Linked DNA regions of Drosophila melanogaster. The protein of the gene in region 2 purifies or fractionates together with the protein of the main gene of each other region. This does not show direct contact. Each region holds a gene or a part of one and is shown on either strand. Other genes may lie near its edges. The genes, in order: PPO2, Fer2LCH, Vajk2 and Cpr64Ac.

Region 1 (6,620 bases), on a different chromosome or scaffold from region 2:
ATTCACAAACGTCTTGGCCTCCAGGTCAATGTTGGCTGCTGCAGTTGCGCACTAAAATAAATGACAATCAATTAAAAGCAGCAAATTCACTTACAATATTATTGCTATTACAGGCTTAGTTTAGTCTAGGTCTTCTAAGTATCCTCAAACTATATAGAAACTGACACGCATCTAAATGAAACATATTTCAAACACGCAAAATTATGATTTAAAGTTATCTAAAGACCACATCTTTTTGTGGGATCTTTGTGGACCCATAGATTATTTAATCGGTACAGTGCTTACGCCAATGCCCGCTATCAGCACCAGAAGCAGCAGCAGGCCCATCTCCTCGGGAATCGGTTTCACTTTCGCACTCAACACCGGATCTGCTCGAACTGAGGTGCTCCGGCCGTGGAGCTGGCATTTAAAGCTTCTCCCGGGCGGCTGATAAGCCTAATCAGCGAGAGATTCTCGCCCGGAGGCCGAGCCACAATAATTGAGAACAAAAGTGGGATTGTGGAATGCCATGATGTCTTGTTTATTAAGCGGCTCAATAAAGATGCAATAGATTGCTAAGAGTTGTATATCTAGAAGTGGGCGAGGTCATGGAATCGGGTCAGGGCGAATCGGGAAAGCGAATCAGGTGCGGATCGTCTAGTTTGGGCGCTGCACGGTGCGGTTCTCGTGGCGGATGTTCACGTCCACGATGCTCATGTTGGGCGTGAGGAAGTTAACCAGGCGGTCGACTCCGCTGCGGGGCAACCTGTCGAAGGGGAATCCCATGGACTGGCGATCCGGGTAAAGACGGTCACGGACGCCACAGTAGGAAGCGGCATCGCTGCACCGACCCACCAATTGCTGGTCAATCTGGAGGTGGAGATAATTGTCAAAAATATCCTTGATTTACTAGCCAGCTAACATACCCTGTCGTTCTCATAGTTCGACACCATGATGAACAGCACGCACTGCAGTCCCTCGGGCAGACCCTTTGGCACCAGCATGTGGTTGGGCCAGCCGCAGCCGCAGAAGTTGAACTCCAGCTCCTCCGGAGTGCCGGCCGCCGGACGATTGGCATCCAGGTTGCGGAAGGTGCGCTCGAACGGAATGGTCACGCTCGACTCCGTGGAGCGGCGGCGGATGGTGTTGGGTCCCGGGTTCAGCGAAGTCACGAACTTGTCCAGCTCGATCATCATGGAGCGCTGATCTCGCATCAGCATGGGCTGGCCACGCTCGTCGTTCTTCGGCGCCATGAAGATGCGCACGTAGCCGAAACGCTGGGCACCACTATCGTTGTTCAAACTGATGGTATAGGTGAAGGGCAGATGCTGCAGGTGGGTGAACCTGGCGAAGACATTACCTCGCGGCAGGAAGTCGAAGCCACGGGACATGTCCACGTCCGACTGCTGCCAGAAGGTGGTCAGATTATTGGGACGACCTCCATTGGTGTCCACCTGGATGCCCGCGATCGAGACGCCCGGGTAGTTTAGTTGGTTCTCGGTATAGGCGGGCAGGCGCGACTTGTGCTCCTGGAAGATGCGGTCGATGTACGAGTGCCACTTGTAGAAGACCGGGTCGCGCATGGCCGTGGACACATCACCCATCACGCCAAAGGACTCCAGGTGCTTGCTGGTCGGATCGTGGGCGTACGAGATGAAGGTGTGTCCGTTGTTGTGCAGGTCACCATACTAGGGGAGCAATAGGATTAATCCCTAGAATAATTTACTAAGGGTAAGGACTTATTACCAGCACTCGGTTGGGCGACAGAATGGATGATTCAATCATGTTGCCGAGGGTATCAATGCCCGTCGCCTCATCCAATGGCACCCGGTTGCCACGCTCCTGAAAGGGAATATGGCATGTTATTTAGTTAATGGAAAACCCACCAACAACTCACATCCATGACAAATCCTTGGTGAATGGCCTCGTAGATGCGATCACGCCAACGCTCCAGATCTCCAATCTCCACATTCAGCTGGTCGGACTCCCGGTTGAGATCGCTCAACCTGGTGCTCTCGAAGCGCGGTGGCCACGCGCGGCTGGCTACCAGAGAGTCCATCTTGGGGAAGTAGCCCTCGGCAATGGGATCCCTCAGGTTGTTGAAGGGCAGAACCCTGGCCAGGTTGTTGCTGAACCGCTCCGCATTGTAGCGGGCGATCACCTGCTGGTGCATGTAGTAGAAGAGCTCGCCACGACGATCCTTGGCCACTATGCTGCGGTCGGAGGCCTCGAAGGGGTAGACCAGATGCCAATGCCAGTGGTGAAGGTTGATGCCCAGATCCTCGCGGAAGTACCACAGCCGGTGCTCGGGATCCAGATCGGAGGCGGTGTAGTCCCTGGGAATGGTGATGGGCATCCGGGAACCGGGCTGCACCACAAAAGACTCCTCCCGCATCTTGCGGATCACCTGCGAGTCGATGAAGCGGTCGGGGAAAGTCTGCGAGAAGGATGGCAGATCCAGGCCCTGGGTGTCCGGACGATGGAGCAGCGCCACCGACAAGGCGTAGTTGAAGAGCACCGGGTTGACCCGATCCCTGGCGTACACCGCCACGCTCTGCAGGTCGTCCACGGAGCGCATGTTCATGAATATATCGATCAGGCGGCCGGCGATCCTGCGGTGCTTGGGCAGGAACAGCGAGAACTGCTCGTCCCGGCCCAGGGACATGGGGATCCGCAGATCGGGAATGGAGATCTCCCGGACTGGAACGCGCTGCTCCACCTTGTCGCCGACGCGGCTCTGCACCTCGTTGCTGATGGGTCGGTAGCGGTCGGTCAGGAAGGAGTCGGGCACATCGAACACGGTCACCCTCTTGCCCTTGTCCATGAACACTGGCTCGGTGGGATGGTCGAAAAGCAGGAGGAGATTCTTCTTGTCGGCCATTTTCAATGGGATGTCAGGGAGGACCTGCTGGATCGCGGAGCAAACTAAATGGGGAATGTGACTGGAAGTCTGGGAACTTCACGACTGTGACTATTCACCGAAAGAACTGCACATTTTATACAAAACTTCGAAGGCACTAGTATCGGTTTTGAAAACCACAAGAACGCCTGAGAATTGAAATTGTCGACAAATTGCGGCGATAAGGATATAGTATGGAAACCGCAGTGTTGTTTTAGCATATTTCTAAAATGCAGTTTTATTATTTCAAGAGTATTTCATTTGGTTTTGCTTTAGCTTATCTATACATATATACTATTGGAATGAAATCGGATTTTGTTATCTCTGGGATATGCCTGCGTTGTAAATCAAAACTTCTCTACGCACACGATCCTCCGGTCAGATAGCATCACATCTAAACAATTTAATATAATAGTATGTATATATATGTAGCTACATGCATAATACGGCAATAATAGTTATTACAATTCGGCTATAATCGATCAATTCGTCCCTAATTCCCTACTACTGCTTTGATATACAATACATATATTTATTTAGCATAGCGCTAAAAAGAGAGATACAACGAGATATTTGGCGAGTGAAGAGATGAGCAATATCGTACGACAAGCGGATCTACATATATATAGCGTGTATATACAGGAAGTCTGTGGAAATTGTATGCTGCTGTTTCCGTTTCCGTTCTCGTATTCGTTGTGTAAAAGCGATAGGTTCAGTTGGTTAGTTGTTTAGATCTTGTAAAATGTATCTCAGAAAAGCCCTGGGCATGTCCCGTGTTCCTTGGCCATGATATGTAGTGTTTAAGCTCTTAGAATATAGAGTTGTGGGGTCTTCAGCTTGGTTCCGATCTCTCAGCCCGAAGAGAAAGTAAGAGGTGATGGCTTTTGTGTGAGTGTAAAGACTTTAATCACATCCAAAAATGCATACACATGTATTTACATAATATCGTGCAGTATAAACCAAGAGTTGTACAAAAATATATCTATGTTTCTGTATATATAAATATTCGATCGTGTTCGGTGTACATATGCAATTCAAAACAGAATTCAGTGCCGTTAACAACTCAAAACTGTTGTTCAAATCGATGTGTTGATGGGGATATATTGTAGTTTGATTTTAGTTCGGTTCAAGCGCATTTTTATCTACCCTTGTATACATATACATACATATAAAACTGGGGAATACGATCCGGTAACGTCGGGGCATACATAGTTACAAATAGTTCTCGGTACATACATATAATACTTGTTCGATTTCGTTTTCGATTTTGATTCACTTCTCAACTTGGGGAGTCGGTTGTCTCTAAGGATTGCATGTGTATATTGGTGCCCAAATAGTTTCAGACTACGCTAAAGCTACGGATAACATCTAGTTCTAGTTCGGTTTAGTTTGCCTTTGCTCGTTTCTTTCGATTCAATTCAATTCAAATCGCTTGCTCAACTTGATGGCTTCAAAGTACAGAGTACGGAGTACACACACACTTATATATCGAGGAACTTTCACTACTTTCAACAATATCGACATCAACAACGGGGATCCAACGAAATGTACACTTTAAACGACTATCCGGTGCAAATATACATGGGTTACTCGATCGGAGAGAATGCCTGGCCTTTGTACTGAGGTTCGCCCGTATCACACATCCGCTATCCGCTATCCACTAATCCAATTCAACACTGTGCCTACTACTTACTTACGCAGATACTTTGAACGTCTGGGACTCAGGTACAAGTTTCTTTCGATGCGACGTGGTGCAGCTGTATTAACCGAAGGTCAAATCAGAAGTTTCAACCCAAAAACCCAAACCATAAAAATGCGATCCCAACCCGCGCGCCCCACATCGTGGGCTGACTTCCGTTCCGTTAACTTAGTTCGAGGAGGTGGTGTTCTGAAACTCCTGCCGGCAGTAACCCATCACAATGTCCGATCGGCAGTCGCCGCCCATTAGACCCGGCAGGAGCACCGCCGCCCCCAAGATGGTCACCAGGGCTCCGAAGACCACCAGGCCCAGAGCGGGCAGCTTCTCCCGGCTGAGCAGGGCGTGCGGCTCCATCTGAATGTAGGCCAGGCCGGGCAGGATGTAGGCCAGGGGAATGGCCGCCAGGAGACCCTGAAATGGGTGGATTGTTGAATGTACTGATGGGCTGACGGGCTGATGTTCTGATGGGCTGGCTGATGGGTGGGGCATAAATTTGCATGGCAAATACAAAGACGGGTTCCGGCCAGAATTTGTAGATGCCGTTTGGGATTGGCGTTGTGGCCAATACCCGTGACTGGAATACAAGGGGCAAATGGCTACGGACGATAATAATAAACTTGGCCATACGGTTCTCCCTTTGGTCTGGCAAATGTGAATGGTGAAATCGGAATTAGTCTCAGATGTATTTAATGAAGCATTTGGTGGATTCTTTGTTGCATAGCTTTCTACTTGAATATATGGACTTTGGGAATTGGAATTTATTCTCTTTCATCTAGGCCAAATATTCACTCGGAAATAAATGCAAACGAAAACCGTAATAAATAATCTTTAAGTTTGCAAATTGCTTAGTCGAAGTTATCTCGATGATAAATGGTCTGAGCATTATAAATGATAAGAAATGTGTTCTTTCGGAAACTAGGAACATAAATGATTAATTTGTACATTAAAAAAGGTTTTGGGTAAACTCTTGCTGATTGTGATTAAACTAAAACACAAGTAAGCAGCTGAGTTTGCGGATTTAAGTTATCGCGTGTATTGAGGTAAAACCACAAAGTCATAAAGTGGGATAAATAAACATCAAGTGGACTTGTAAAAAATATTAGTATTGAAAGAAAGTATAAAGAAGATTACAAGTGCACATGGTCGCAATGATTTAAATAAATGTAAAAGTAAAGACTTTAAAGTAAGACTTTAAATGTTTCTTATTTCATCGGATGGGTACCATTCTTACATATATATAGAAACGCCTTCTTTTGGTCAAGGGTACCCAACCCATTTTCTAGGCGAACATGGATAAGGGACATGGAAAATCCTACTCACATTCAGCTCCAGCACCGAACCCAGGCAGTCGGTCATGGGCGAGATGACGAAGGCGCTGAACACGATGGCCATGGTAATGGCTTTCGAGTACTCATCGATAATGGCCCCCTTCTCCAGGCTGGGGTCCTTGTCCTGGGTGAACTCGCTGATGGGCTCCTTCAGCACGAACCGATGGACGAGGGCGCGCACAATCTGTGGGGAATGGCCCAAAATAAAAGTATGTTGCTAAACTGGCTCTGCGATTCCGGATGCTCACCTCGCGGGACACGAAGCACTCGATGGGGAAGGTCAGGAGTATCGATATGGAGAAGAGCACACGCGAGAAGTTCATCAGGTCGTCATCCCAGCAGTAGTTCTCCAGCAGGTCGCCTGCAAGAAGGAAAGCCGAATCCCATCGGGATTGGAACGGTCGTAAGCAGTAAATACTACAAGTATAGTAAATGCCGAAAACAGCAGACAGGAAACATCCACAAATTGCCTGTCACTGCAATTAAATGCAATTTGTGTCAATCCCTCACCTTGGGAAAGAGCGCGGAAGGTGGAGTAGCCGGCGATGCCGAAGAGGGCCGCCACCGTCCAGGCAAATCCAATCGAAATGTGGGTGACCTTCTCCCAGCGCTCCATGGTCGCGTCGCGCATCGATTGATAAACGAGGAAGGTGTTGTGATGACACATGAAAGCTGCACGGACGGATGTCCAATAAAAAGATAGATAGATACATAG
Region 2 (5,911 bases):
GCTGCACGCACTCGGAGACACTGAAGAACCCACTCGGAGCGATCCAAGCACTATTCCAACCCAAAACCACATCAACTTGAATCCCATTTGGTCCTAACTGTTATGATTCCGAATGGAGTTTTCTCTTATGGCTGTCATATTCTAATTACATAAGAGCACGCAGTTATTACACGGATTCGCCTAATGCCGCAGATACGGATGCTGTGATTTGATGACCCCTGACCCCTGGCATTAAAATGGCAAATTGACGTTCATTTCACGTGCTAGTGGACCGTATCCGTACTCCGGATGTGCGGCGATATGAGCAAAGTCCTCATTGAATGGGCGTCGCTAATTGATAAATTGCTTCGATGCGTGGCTGGGATCCATAGTCGCATAGTACAATAGCTACTCAAATGCCGCAGAAAATGCTTAGAGAAAACCACTTTCAAAAGTGATTAAAGATACATTTTTACCTATTTCACACGTTAATTGAGCAGCTGTTATAGGATCTTACGGAATTTCCTAGAATTAATAGAGCTTCCATGTGGATTATAAAAAAAAAACTCATATTCACAAATAGGGATTCACAACAATTATTGTAGGTCAGGAGAGTGAGGAGGGAGCAGAGGAAGATAGGGAAACTGCGATGCAAATTCAGGGGACAATTAAAATCCGAGATTGCATCGGCTTACGCAACAATGTGACATCCACGTCATCGTGGAGTCTCCGACTTAGTCAGCAGACGGCCAAGATGGCGCCCGGCGGATCTGCTCCGGTTCCGGAGCGGCAAAGCCGTGTGCACCAGGCAGTGATAAGGCGACAGAGAGAATCTCGCATGGAATGACAAACGTGGCCCCTTCGTATCAGCGGCGGAGGAGTGTATCACTGATTAGATAGTCGGGCTCCTTTAAGCCCCACAGATCACTGCGAGAGATAGGTTTCACTTTTCACCATCGATTTAGGTTGTCAATTGAAAGAAAGTAATAAATTGATATTGAGATAGATAGATCCCACTAGATCCTAAGTGATTCCAGTCTCTGAATGGTCAAAAAGATGATTTTAAAATGGTAACGTAGTTTGCATACAATACTACGATATTTACAACATGGGTTTACATTCTCATTTATTTATTTATTTTTAGACAAGCGTTGATGGCTTGTACATAAACATATGGTTTTTAGTTGAAGGCACATTCTAAGAATATCAGAAACCACAACATTATGGAACATTACACCCGTTGTGATCGCAGAACTGAGTAGTTTCCGATACCATTTCGACTTTGTATATTTCATTGTTCCATATGATATCCAAAGTACACTGCCAGCCAGCCCGCAATCAGCAGCACTCGGAGAAAAAACGCAAACAGACGCCCCTCATTGAGGACCAGATACATTTCGACCCAAACCCAAACCTTATCAGAGAGGCAAAAATGCTGCTGTTTTACTAGTTGATAATTAGGTTCTTTGATGTGTTTATTATTTGTTCAAGCGGTAACGTACATACTAAAGATACATTTGCTGGGGCGAACTTGCTAACTTATTTATGATAACATTATCACAATCTGGTGTGCTGGTAAATCAAGGTGAATTTCGCGGTGTAAATTATTCACTTGTGGCTGCTTTGATAATGCTGCTGCTGCACTGCGATTTATTGATGAACAATCCAAGGAAACAAATTTATAAGGGAATTATGAGAGCAATTTTGAGGAGACAGTGTAGGAGCGTGTTAGAAAAAGAAGGAGGAAAAGGAGGTGGTCTCCACTCCTTACTGCTTCTGCAGATACTCGTCGAACAGGTAGACGGACAGGGATGGGTCGGGGACCTTCATCAGCTTGGCGAGGTCGTTGGCATAGCCGGACAGCTTGCGCACGCTCTCGGCCTGCTTGCCCAGGAAGTTCTCCTCGAAGTAGTGGGCCAGCTCGGGATCCCTCTCGGCGTCGGTGGCGTGGGTGGCACGGGAGTGCACGTGAGTGGCTCCGGTGGCCAGCTGCTTCTCGGTGTCCAGAGCCAGAGCCAGGGAGTGCAGTTCGTCGACCTCAAGAGTGCCGCGCTTGGTGCTCACGGAGCCGGAAGACTCGTGGCGGGTGTTGAAGTCAACGATTCCTCCGCGACGGGTCACCTGCTTGATCAGGGCAATGCTGTCCTCGAAGGAGCGGTCCGAGAGTCCCTGGTACAGCTTCTGGAAGCCGGGGCGGTTCTTCTGGTAGGAGTTGAAGTGGGTGGCCAGCAGGAGGTAGTCGTACGACTTGGCCAAGTTGGCGTTGATGTAGGACTGGATCTCGGGCTCAATATGGTCAATGCCAGCAAAACGGGCATTACAAATGGAGTTGGCTACGGGGAAAAAGCAAATAATAAAGATCACACTCTTAGAATAGGAGAGCAGAAGCACATCCAATAGTAATGACATAGTCTTAATGGTTCCTAACTAGGTAGTGCCATACTAAACAAGGCAATAGAATTTTGAATTTGTATTTGTATCTTTAAAATAATAATGTAAGGGCCGTAATGCAGTAAGAATTGGAAAGTGTTCATTTTCACGAAATCTGAGATAGTGCAGAAATACATCCAATCTATATTTCACTTACTCTTGCCTGTGAAAAAGCCCGTGAGCGCTTGTTTTTATTATTATGTTTTACAAAGATACAAAAAGCAACAACACAGATTAGCCACTCTCTCTTAGAGGCGCTCTCTTTACTCACCCGAAAAGGCTGACGTAGAGCATGCGGTGATTACAGTGTTCTGGCAATATTCATCATCCTTGGCCAAGGCAAGAGAGCCGAGGCACGCAAAGAGAGCGAGTGCAACGAAAAATTTCATGTCGACGGTTTACTGTAAATTAAAATCAAATTCGAGAGGCGAAAACAAAGGAAATTAGTTTCACAACAATTGACAATTGGAAAACAGACACTTTTGTTTTCATTTTGGGCGAGTTTTTTCGTTTTGCGTCGTAGCGTTTTCTTGAATTTTCTGTGCTCTTTTTTAACAACAAAACCACCACCAATGGAATGTTTTGGTTTTTAAATTTATATGGTGGTCGGTTTAAAAACACAGTTTCCAGAATATTATTTTCTAGTTTTCGTAACTAAACACTCACAAAGTAGTTAGTTAGTAATATTAAAACTCACTTCCAGTGCCTGTGCTTTTATTAATAATTCAATCGCTTTATGTGCTTCTTGGTGAAACTCTGAAAATCAACTGCTGTTTATAGCGTCGCGTACGTCTCTTTCTATGCGATCGATATGGCTGTGTGTGTGTGGTTTTGGAGAGCGTGCATGGGCATGTGTTGTTTTGCGCTCAGTGCGGGATTTCGGTGTCATTCAAATATGGCCGCTGCCAGTGCTGTTGTTGCTGCGCCTGCTGGAAGGTGACTCACGACAGGGTTGTCAGCGTGTGCAAAATATGGACGCTGCACTTTGGATTTCAAGTGGTTTCCTGAGAGTTTTATCAGCTAACGATGAGAATTGAAAATAAACTGCAGATAAACCATCTACCTCCTAAGATAATGTTTTAAGTTTTGATATATTGGTAATTCACAGCAGCATCGAGCTTGAGACTGTTGCTATTTACAATACATATTATTGCTGGGTTCGGAGATAATGTAGGGTTTCCCCAATCAACAAACAAATTATGTAATTTGTAAGTTTTCCCACCATGTATCCTTCTTATCAAGTGTCATTCTTGGAGCTCTGCAAGCGACACGTAAAAAAGAGCCGTCGCCATATTAGCAGTTATCAAAGTGGGTGACTGATCCCCCCTTCGAACGTGCAAATCAACTTGACAAAATGTGAATTAAATTGTCAGCAATAATTAAACCGCCTGGCAACACATGACGTGGTGCTCTCCCACGGCCAAAACAAAAACAAAGAACAGCTGATGCGCATCTCAAAAGAGCGGCCATATTGCATTTGATAAATTTACTTCTTAGTAAGTGGGGATTATCTGACTAGGAAACCCGACTTTATACAAAGTATACCCATATTGAGGACGTGTGTATCACATTGAGTGCGGCAATTATCGGGAATATTCAATTATCAGCCATTTAAACGGTTAACAAAGAACGGGCGACATGTTGAAAAGATAACAGTGCACACTCTCCCATCACTCACACACACACGAAGAAAAACCGAGAGCGCGCGCGCTTAAAAGTGTTTTGTGCGCCGTTCGGAGCGACAGTTCGCTTTCGAGTTCGCTAAAACACAACGTAGAAAGGCCTTAGCTCCACTGAAAAATCAGATTAAAGCTGTCAGCAGAAGGTACTGGAAAGCATTCGAGAAGTCGAAAATAATCCCAATCAAGCCCATCAAATTGAAGCAGGCGACGCCTTCTGCGCCAGTGTGTGTAAAGGCAGCTAGATTTTCAATTTCAACGCCTATTTAACATTGTAGCTCAACTCGAGTCGCCTCATTCTCATTTGTGCATTTCAAGCAAATCAAACTAAAGTGAAAAACAAATTTTTGTTCTGTGATTTTGTGTAAAGACTACGTTCGACGATCAAAGATGGTGAAACTAATTGCTAGCCTGCTCCTGTTGGCCGTGGTGGCCCAGGCCTATGGAGATTTCAAGTGTAAGTACTAATGTTACGTTTTATTCATCAGAATTTCAAACAAAACAAAGGCAGGTCATCGGAAAAAAAACAATAAATTTCGACGCAATACGCAAAGAGAAGCAAAACATTTGTAATGCGTTGAAAAGAGCATGCGCCGTTTCTCTTTGACGCTCTTTCACTCTCTTTCGTCAATGAAGTGAAGTTACCAAACCAGTTGATTTAAAAGTTATTGATACTTCCGTTGCGCTTTGGGGAAATGATAACCAGTTTTTATACATAAATTTTCATAATTAAATAATGCGAATTTCGCTTTCATTTCCATGAATATTGCGGTATAAATAAGCTTGACTTTTTGTTGTTACATTTCAAGGCGCTCTTTGCACACGGCTTTTACGGGCCGAGTGAGCTAGCATGGTGAACCATGCTTTTTGCACACGGCACTACACGAAAACAAATGCCGTTACTATGGCGGCGAGAGCTGCGCACGTTACCAATGCAGTTACAAAAACAGAGAGAGAGAGTGGGAGAGTAGGCCATTACAGTTTTGCACACGGTTTTTGTGCCCTAGAATAGCGGCATTTCAAGCGCAATTTCAAAGGTTTATGCAATTACGCCCTCTTAAATGCAATAACCAACAACGCCCTACCCCTCAGCCAAGCAAGAAAGCAAGAGTTTCGTGAGAGAGCTTCAAAGGGAGCGAGAAGAGCATCAACTAAAAGAAAAACAAAACCTAAGCCATGAAGGTCAAGACCAAGAGTGCAAAGGTTTTTAAAATATTAAAATTTACCTAAGTTCTGATTACAAAAATAAATTTTTTAAAGCTGAATACTAGCCATATATTGTTATCGTGGTCCCCCGACTTAACCCAACCTTATCCCATTGCAGGCTCCCTGGCTGTTCCTGAGATTACCAAGGACTGGGTGGACATGAAGGATGCCTGCATAAAGGGCATGCGCAATCAGATCCAGGAGGAGATCAACGCCTCCTACCAGTACTTGGCCATGGGCGCCTACTTCTCCCGCGACACCGTCAACCGCCCTGGATTCGCCGAGCACTTCTTCAAGGCCGCCAAGGAGGAACGTGAGCACGGATCCAAGCTGGTGGAGTACCTGTCCATGCGCGGTCAACTGACCGAGGGAGTCAGCGATCTGATCAATGTGCCGGTAAGTCGACGACTCGCCTAGAAAACCCAAAAGCCCAGCTAATCCTGGCGAATCCCCCACAGACTGTGGCCAAGCAGGAGTGGACCGATGGTGCCGCCGCCCTGTCCGACGCCCTCGACCTGGAGATCAAGGTGACCAAGTCCATCCGCAAGCTGATCCAGACCTGCGAGAACAAGCCCTACAACCACTACCACCTGGTGGACTACCTGACCGGTGTCTAT
Region 3 (4,318 bases), on a different chromosome or scaffold from region 2:
GGCCTACTCACTAAATTTACAGTTTTAAAAACATTGTTTGCGAACAATTACTTGACGCACTGTAATGCAATTCAGAATAATTCCCAAAATTTATAATAAATAAATAAATCATTGCATAGTTGTGGGAATATCCTTTGACTAAAATAAGCTGTATTAATCCACTTAAGAGTAACTCCACACCCCCTCATAAAAATTAATAAATATCCATAAATATATAATATATATATATATTATATATAAATATATAATATGTAAATATATAATATGTAGTCCTTTATGGCTACGTTTTAACTTGACAGATATATAACTTCTGTAAAAAAATGTATTTATTCCAAAATAGCAATGCAGCAATACAAATTAAGCTTTCAGCTTAAACAAAAGGCTCATTAAGTGAAAATACCCTATATACCTTAAAAATATCCTATCGAACTTCTATCTTTTTTTTTTTTAATGGAAAGCCCAGTATTTCTGAAAGTACAAGTCTTAAGTTTTTTTTTTTTAATTTTCGTTTTATTTACATTATTTAAATATGTACAAATATTTCATAGAAAAGAAATTTACGTGAAAAAGTCGAAGGAGCAACTCGTCAGCAGTTATTTCTCTGTGATTGTCTACAAAAGAACTGTACACTCGATGGATTTGGATGCCAGGAGACAGGCACTTTTCAAACGCCCCGGATGGGTTTTGGCAAGCTTTCTATAATGGATTGCGTCAGTTGTGTGATTTTCTCCTGGTTCCGATCCTTCCAGAATTTCGGTTGGTATCACAAACTAAAACTAAATTTGTAAGTCGTACGTTGGCGGTTGCTGGGCGTGGAAAGAGAGGGAGGGGTGCTTGATTCTTAATGTCTGTTGGATACTTTCGACTTGTTGGTTGGTTCGCTCGCCTTCACCCGACTTCACTTCTCGCTTGGCCCTCGACAGCATTGCGATTTCATCTACTTTTTGTGGAGGTAGCCACCGTGGGCGGAGCCGCCGTAGGAGGAGCTGCCGTAGGAGGAGATTCCGTGTCCGGAAATTCCGTATCCGGAGATTCCGTGTCCGGAGTAGCCGTGGCTGATGATGGCAGGAGCAGCGGCAACGGTGTGGGTGACGGCCACGGCGGGCTTGACGTGGCTCTCAACGTGGACAGGCACGGGCACGGCCACCTTGTAGGGCACTGGACGCTCCACATGGACGGGCACCTTGTGGATCACACGCTTCTCGACGGTGTATGGCACGGGCTTCTCCACGGGCACGGGGTATGGCTTGTCGACATGGACGGTGTAGGGACGATCAACTGGGATCTTCACGGGCACACGGATCACCTTCTCGACGGGGTAGGGCTGGGGCACCTCGACGGGCACCTTCACGATCTGCTTGACGGGCACATGGACGATCTTCTCCACGGGGTAGGGCTGGGGCACGGGCACCTTAACGGGATAGGTGACGGTCTTCTCGACGGGGTAGGGAACGTGACGCTCCACCTGGTAGGGCACCTGCACGGTCCTCACCACGGTGTTGGTGTGCACCTGGGTGGGCAGCTCAGCGACAGCGGGAGCCACTGGAACTCCAACACCGATGCCGGATCCCAGAATGGCGCCTCCCGCCGATGGTCCGTATCCGTAGCCCAGACCGTGGCCAATGCCGCGCTTCTCCTGCTTCTTCTCGGCGGGCTCGGCGGTCTCGACGGCCTTCTTGGGTGCCTCCTCACTGGCGTTGGCCACCAGCACGCACATCGCCACAAGGCCGAAAATGAGCTGCAATGACAAGTGGGTTAAATTCGATAGAAACCCAATTGGCTTGGTCGGGCGGTTATGCAACTGCAGCCGCTTCCGGCTCCACCTCCGCCCGATTACTCCATAATTTGGAATATGACAATTATGCAATGTTGGGTGGAAAGTTGGCTGGGCAACCAGCCAAGTTCAATTGTGGCCTAGGCCCCCTGACATATTGGGCATGCGGCGTATACTTAATGTGGCTTGATATTTTCGCAATAATTCGGTTAAAATACAAATTGGAAGAAGGCAAATTCAACTCTTTGTAGTTTCGCGTTCAAAGCTTTTTAATACGAATCTACATTTTTGTTTTCTTTTTTAAATGCTAAAAACATATTCTAGGACTGCCTATCCTTTTCGGGTTAAAATGATCCTTAACACTTTTCGATTTTAGTAATTATGAAATGTGATTTCTTTCAATAAGATTTAAATGTAGAACTGGTAATGGAAAAATTAAATATTTCAATTAGTTTTCTCTCTAAAAATCCTTTCTTAAAACCATGTTCATATTTACTTGGGTAAACCAAAATGCCACAAAAAAGTAACATATCTAGAGACATTTTAGAATATCCGTTCTATCCTTGCTTTTGAAAGAGCTGATGAAGTCGTGCAAAAACCTTTTTAAAAATACTTTAATTGCAACACCGATATGTCTACATTGTTCCATAAATATATATATATATATTCTTTTGCAAGTCACTTTAACTGAATCCGAGTTTTTGAAACACAATTATTCTAAGCAGCACTTCGAAGGAGAACACACTGAGCTCAGACCGAACATACCATGGATTTCATTTTGCACTAGGTTAGCTCCTCAACACTTTGCGATCAAGATGGGCTTGTATGTCTCAACCAACCCGCAACAGTTAACTGAATAATTTCGCACAGACGCAGCGAGCTTTTATATGGCCGATGCTGTGGCGGGATTGTCTTCAGCCGCGGCTGCGCAGTCGACGTGAATCGAGATCGCAGCAGCCGTGTTGAAAAAGCTCGCTCTCCATCCGTTCGACAGCTCCTCTCTCTCTTGGCCAACTGTCCGTGTGAGCCCGTGGCCCAAAGGAAATGCGTCAGCAAGCGAGCTTTTTCGAAAGAGGGTGCCTCACACGGACAGTGTCCATGTTGTCCGTGTGATCTGCGCCTGTATGAGTGCGTATCTGTGAACACTCGAGCTCCAACTGTAGCGATCTTTGGGAACTACTGAAAGTATTCAGACACCAAGTAACTGGGGGCACAGTTTAGTAGAAAGAATCGTTTCTTGCCAATAGCCAACATAACAAACATAGCAAATGGGTAATTTCGTTTAATTTTGCCTTAATCTACCAAAGAGATCCAATCAATTCTTTTGGAGAATCGCTCTTAATTGTACAGTTCAAACAATATAGACTTTTTTAATCATATACGTATGAATTTTAATCAACGACTTTAGAGTTTTAGAGTCTCAGAGTTTGTTTCTAGAATATTCGAAAAGTGATAAATTTTGTATTGTTAAAATTTTAGTAAACAGCTTTAAAAGTCCTTAGAAAGTTTATGTAATTTTAGATCGGAGCCCTTCCTCCGACGTCTTTTTGCGCAGTTAGTATTGTTATATGTAGCCATTATTATATTATCATTTTCCCTTTGTACAAATATATCTTATTAATATATTTTTTGTAAAAATCTCACATAAATACATGAAGTGTTAGTGTTTGTTTCCCAGGTAAAATTACATTAATGAACACGACAAATAAAATAAACTACTTGTATTTCTTACCATTTTACATAAATCTTTGGAAATCAACACATTCGAAAAGAACATTAATTATAAACATAATAATTATTCAATTAAAAATTAAATATTAACAAAGTTAAAAATGAACATAAAGAGTTTAAAATTTATGGACCATAAATAAATGAGTAATTTTTGGCTGGTAACGAAACCTTCATAATTATTAAAAAATATATACATTAAAAAAGAGATCACAAATACTTTTCTAATGCATAATTTTGACTAGTCCTTAGTGTTGGGAAATTTTTGCCCCAAAGCCTTGAGCCATTAATAAATAACTGACCGCGAGCACTTCAGTCACATAATCAAATTAGACACAACGGGCAAAGTGTTCCACAGCCATAAGTTAAATTCACATTAGCCACACATTTCCGAAAATTTCAGGTTACAAATCCAGTTGCAGTTGCAGTTGCATATTGAATGTAAATTGCTTGGCTGCAGAAGAAACATGCGCCGCATAGTCTGCTTGATTCTGTGTGGCTTCGTGACTGAACTTTTGATCTCGGATTTGTGTTTGGCTCCGTATTCTTGTTTGCTTCGGTTTTTTTTTCTCAGCTTTTTGGCCAGGCTGAGCGGCGTTTTAAGCCTTGATATGGGTGCATTGATTGAATGCTGTGGCAGTGTGGGTAATTTGACATTTTAATGCTGCAGAGGAAATACTCGCCAATGGCCATGTAAATGGAACGTGTGAACAATGAGTGGACCGCAAAACGCGCACAAAGGAGAACAGATACGGGCACCAAATCATGTTGGTTTTATGTGCATTAATTTAATTGTGGACATAACGCCGCGGACAT
Region 4 (4,962 bases), on a different chromosome or scaffold from region 2:
TGGAATGGGTCAGCTTTCTTTGGCGAATTGGGCTTTTCCTGGTTACATTTTGTTACATTTAAAATTACAAAACCACTTTTACATGGCATGGAGTCACGAAAATGTTCACCAAGTAATTAGTTCCATTAAGCACATAACCATTTCCATTTCTTGACACCCGCAATTATGATGTAATTGAAAAAGTTAACACACTGCTAAGTTTCAAGTTCAAAACGACGATATTTGCATCATAATTAACACGCAAATTTTGATCTTGAAAAAATGTCCATTGAATATCTTGTTATTTTGCACTACTTTTAAGTGTGTTTTTAATTTAGTTCATTATCATTAACTAGGCAAGTATGCATTTTGGGCCTTGAGCTTGTCTAATCAACTGACTAATTAATAAAAATGTATAGGTGTAAATTTAAACTCGTTTCGGAATTTTAGTAGAGCTTTTGATTAATTTTAGTTAATCAACGCCTTGAGAAGCGAATACTTGCGGATTTTCCTTGAATATGATTGAAGGATTTCATGTATTTCTTTGGCTTATTGAGTTTATTGTTTAATGATTACTGACTTTACAACGGACTAAGGAGCAGACAATAAGTTATGTAAAAGCTAGGTTACAAGCAGTGTTAAAGGCTCTGAAAGATTGTGGAGTTAGCCCAAGATTGGAGCAGCCACTGGAGCCACCAATGGGCGAGCAGCCACCGGAACTGGTCCTCGCTGCACCACCGCATTGAAACCGTTGATGGGATCGGCGGTGTAGAAGACGGTGCGCAGTGAACCATCGGCATCGACCACCGAGTAGGAGCCCTTGACCACATCTCCATCCCGCACCTCCTGCTGGCTCTTGCTGTCCCCGGTAAGGGCATCCTGCACATTATAGGCGAACGCGTACTGCGGATGTGGATCCACCTCCGTGTTGAGGGGCACTCCCACTGGAACAGCAGCTGGGAGCAGGGCGCACTCGATGGCGGCGATCAGAGCGCAGCAGATGAGGGTGATCTGTGGGTTAAGTAAGGTGCATTGATTGATTTATGATCAAGATATACACTTGTGCAGATCCTAGTAGTATGTTCAATCACATTCCTTGACCAGGATTCCCTCAACTCACCTTGATCAGGGCCATGACTAGATTTGCTGGTGGATAGTGGTTTTCCAATGGTGCTTTGTGCTTGACAATGCTGTCGGAACTGTCTTGGATTGCCATTGGATCGGGGTTATAAAGGGCCTCCACATTTCCGCGATAACATGCGCCGTGTGGCAACCGCTGCCAAAAACGATTCCATTTGCTGACGTAATGGCCCGTTTTTGTGCCTGGTCCACCTGCAAAAAGTTTCCCCCATGGACGTGCCATCCAATGGCCCAACTTGCACAATTCTCCCCTCCATTGAAGCCCCACCAATATGAATTGTGATAACCGTAAATATAGTTGGCACTACGTGATCGGAATCTAAGATTGGGAGCTTTAACTCGAAGCTCGGGACCTACCCCAATGTTTAACTGGGTTAAGCAGGGGAATGTGGAGCATTCCTAGAAATATTTCAACTTTTCGAATATCACTTCCAACCGATCAGTTCCATCGAACAACTAATAACAATTCATTCAATCTTTTTTTTTGTACCGAAACTTTTATTCAGTAAATGCAGTTACTAATTCACTAAGTGGCCGATAGCCGTTCCCCAGATCCCCAGAACGGTATCCCTAAACGTAGTCTATGGTGGCGATCCTTCGATCGGAGATTGGGAATGTGGGTCAACAGCGGGGTGGCAACAGCACGCACGTCCTTGTGTTTCGGGTTTTGACTGACAGAAAAGTGGGTAAATGCATTAGAACTATTTAACAACGGTCCTACAACTAGGCCATGGAGTTTGTCATCGCTTGGTCCACCGGTTCATCGCCTAGTGGTATCCACCCAGACTCAGACCAGGCGCCGAAGCGTATCCAATCTTGGTGATGGCGGGAACGGCGGCGACGGCAAGAGCTGGCTTGGCAATGGCCACCGCGGCCACGCCCTTCTTCTCCACGACCGCATTGAATCCGTTGACCTTGTCGGCGGTGTAGGTGACCTTGCGAATAGTGCCATCGGGTTCGGCCAGGGAGTAGCTGCCGTGGACGACTCCGTTGACCAGGGTCTCCTCCTGCTGCTTGGAGTCACCGGTGTGATGATCGGTTACTCCGTACGAGAAGCTGTACTGCGGATTGGGATCGTAGGGCTCGGCAACAGCCACCTTGGCCACAGCGACGGGGGCAGCCAGGACCTTGGGAGCATAGGAGATGGCAGGAGCGGCATACGAGATGGCAGGAGCCGCCAGGAGTTTGGGAGCAGCATAGGAAATGGCAGGAGCAGCAAGCAACTTGGGAGCCGCATAGGTGAGTCCAGGGGCCGAAAGTCCATAGGGATCAATGGGAATGGCCACAACGGCGGACAGGATCAGTCCCAAAACGAACAGAGTCTGGCGAGGAATTCCATGATCAGTTGAGCCAACTAAAAGCTGCACTCCTTTGGCCAACTCACCTGGGCAATCATGGCGAAGGATGTGAGAATGAGGGAGCTCTGGTTTGGATGTGTCTGCACTGCGAGAACTCAGCTCAAATGTGAGATGCATTTTCCGCGTGGTCTTCAGTTTTATATTCGAAACTGGCGGCAGCTGCCAGCGGAAAAAAAAACTGGACAATCTAATGGGCAGAGTGACAATTGCGTCTCATTTGGTGGCTGCCCGATCTCGATCTCGATCTTGCACCCCAGACCTCATCGCTGATGGCGGATTTCGTGTTTCTGGTGCGGATTTCATCATTGGTGCTGGCTTTTCTCAATGGAATAACTGCAGCCGCCGCTGCCGAGGCACACCACTCACCGAAGTCCATTTGAGTCCGTTCAAGAGCGCCGCTCCAAGATACCCAGCTAGTCAGCTACCAGCAACACCAGACTCGTTTTCCGCTGACTCGCTGGCCGATCTGGTTTCATTTTTTCGCCGTTTTTTGGCACATTCTCAGGTTCTCCAGCCAAAATTTGTCTGATGTAATAAGTGCCTCATATTGTGGCAGTTTCAGTTGCAGTTGCCACAAGAACAGTGACAGTGCTTTTTTAGCGATTGTAGGTACCCTTTCAAGAAAAATCTTTAATATCATCAAAGACCTAATGAAAATATGTATTTACTCTCAATTTTCTGAAAATGTATGAAACCAAGATTACAATTGGATATGTAAACACTCATTTGGCGAACATACTTCAATCAATATTTGAATATGTAATTGAAATGCCTGCTGTTAAGTTATGCCGATTATCACTCACACGCCATGTTGTCCAAACGCAAGCAAATTTCGCTTGGTTTGCGTGACGTGCGAGTAATCTTCATAGTAACATACATGTCCAATGTGCCCACCCAAAGTGCAGGGTATAAAAACAAGATCAATCGTTCGCAGCCACTCGTTTAATTAGAAAACGAAAATGGCAAGTTTCGACGGCTTGGTGGAGGGAATGGAATTGGGCGGGACGCAGGCGCAATTACGCACTGGCACACGCATTAACCCCTCGACGATCCGATTTCCACCTGACCAACTGGACCAGCGCCCACATTGCTGAGCCCGGTCACTTAGCCACCGTAATTGCCTCGATCGGGCCAAAAAGCATTTAGCCGGCATTTGGAAGCTCTAACCGCGGCGACCTTGCTCACAATTGGCAGCTAAGTGGCTGTGGTTAGTATTTCATCCACTTTTAATTAATTCTCATCTCAGAGCAGAGTCAAGCGATTGGGCAAGGAACTGCATAAATGGCAGTGGAGCATTCCATTCGCTTTGGCCAAATTGGACGACTGTATATCCATGCTGGTTTCCGGTGGCGACAATCTACGCCGACAACCGTTAGTCAGCTACCACAACCCGACGAGTAATACCACCATTTGGTGCCAACTTTTGGGGCTCTCTCCGCTTCTCCGGATCGCTCAGCGTCTCTCCGAGGTGAATCCGCAGCCAACGAGTCGCAAGGTCGTTGGTTGCATTTAGGAAAAGAGTCACGAACTCAAAACCAGCCACCAGTTACAGCACGAAATCGATGGGGAATCTTTAATCAACCATGGAGTTAGGCAAATTCCAAAAGACCAGAGATTCTTGTTGTTACTGAAGATATTTGTTAGGAAAGCATGTTAAATTTAAAATAAGATTTATCCTTTTCAGCAAAGTCGTTTAGGGGAGGAACTAAAAATCTCCTTATGGAAACATAAACCAAATGCATGGCCATTTATTAGAATAATATCAATATAATTGATGTATCAAATGTTGATAATCTTTCAATAGATTTACAATAGTAATATATGGGTATATAGTATATATATTAGTCTAATCGATATTACTGGGCCACATTGACCCAGTTTCACCTTGTTAAGTGAAACCGAACCCCTTGTGAAAACCCTTATTATGTATAAGTGGTAACTCATTAGCATAAGTAATTGATACCCAATAAGGTGTATAAGAAACTTTCCAATTTATTTGAGACAACCAATTCAAGTAGTACATCAAAATCAGGATCATTACACTCTAAAGATACTTTTTTATCCCAGAGATATATTAATATTAAGTTTTTGAGCTTGAACCCTTGTCAACTCGACGTCATTATGGTAACTTAATTATAAGTTTCGCGCTTTTGGTGTAAAGGAAAATTAAAAGCACTGTCATTGGATGGAACCTGCATGACAATTACCGAAAACTACTGCTCCGAAATATAATCAAATCGCATTCACTTTCGATCCGAACAAGGCAAAAACAGTGGCAAATAAAAATGAAAACTTGGTGTAGCCACCGCAAGACGACTGAAAATTGGAGTACGTGCTGCGAATTTGGATCAAAGCCCGAGACGCAGACGCAGCCAAATGCTGGGTAGGAAGAGGCGGCCCCAAAAAGCGGCGATGGTGATGATGCGGGGGGCAAGGAGCTCGGACAATGGGCTACCATACGCAATTGGTACGCAGTTCCCTCCAC

Evidence for each region.
Region 1: the proteins of Fer2LCH (region 2) and PPO2 purify together in Drosophila melanogaster (affinity purification with mass spectrometry, with the first as the bait; one large-scale study listed by BioGRID). This does not show direct contact.
Region 3: the proteins of Fer2LCH (region 2) and Vajk2 purify together in Drosophila melanogaster (affinity purification with mass spectrometry, with the first as the bait; one large-scale study listed by BioGRID). This does not show direct contact.
Region 4: the proteins of Fer2LCH (region 2) and Cpr64Ac purify together in Drosophila melanogaster (affinity purification with mass spectrometry, with the first as the bait; one large-scale study listed by BioGRID). This does not show direct contact.

Annotation. Positions count from the first base shown.
Region 1 is NT_033778.4:9,041,761-9,048,380, forward strand, and holds PPO2 (prophenoloxidase 2), read right to left. Parts: upstream 2,950-6,620; 5' UTR 2,861-2,949; coding exon 1,877-2,860; intron 1,822-1,876; coding exon 1,726-1,821; intron 1,668-1,725; coding exon 906-1,667; intron 850-905; coding exon 637-849; 3' UTR 501-636; downstream 1-500. Other genes in the region: Ance-4, read right to left, coding at 1-51, 286-327; CG13743 (uncharacterized protein), read right to left, coding at 4,746-4,988, 5,898-6,089, 6,154-6,266, 6,416-6,577. UniProt on the Drosophila melanogaster protein: This is a copper-containing oxidase that functions in the formation of pigments such as melanins and other polyphenolic compounds.
Region 2 is NT_033777.3:30,386,098-30,392,008, reverse strand, and holds Fer2LCH (ferritin 2 light chain homologue), read right to left. Parts: upstream 3,180-5,911; 5' UTR 3,107-3,179; intron 2,871-3,106; exon of another isoform or gene 2,811-2,870; 5' UTR 2,799-2,810; coding exon 2,681-2,798; intron 2,594-2,680; coding exon 2,567-2,593; intron 2,313-2,566; coding exon 1,747-2,312; 3' UTR 1,425-1,746; downstream 1-1,424. Other genes in the region: Fer1HCH (ferritin 1 heavy chain homologue), read left to right, coding at 4,479-4,545, 4,898-4,906, 5,181-5,291, 5,413-5,690, 5,753-5,911. UniProt on the Drosophila melanogaster protein: Stores iron in a soluble, non-toxic, readily available form. Important for iron homeostasis. Iron is taken up in the ferrous form and deposited as ferric hydroxides after oxidation.
Region 3 is NT_033779.5:13,932,059-13,936,376, forward strand, and holds Vajk2 (Vajk2), read right to left. Parts: upstream 2,635-4,318; 5' UTR 2,552-2,634; coding exon 2,540-2,551; intron 1,739-2,539; coding exon 938-1,738; 3' UTR 501-937; downstream 1-500.
Region 4 is NT_037436.4:4,210,359-4,215,320, forward strand, and holds Cpr64Ac (cuticular protein 64Ac), read right to left. Parts: upstream 2,558-4,962; 5' UTR 2,516-2,557; coding exon 2,504-2,515; intron 2,442-2,503; coding exon 1,887-2,441; 3' UTR 1,606-1,886; downstream 1-1,605. Other genes in the region: Cpr64Ab (cuticular protein 64Ab), read right to left, coding at 643-990, 1,100-1,114.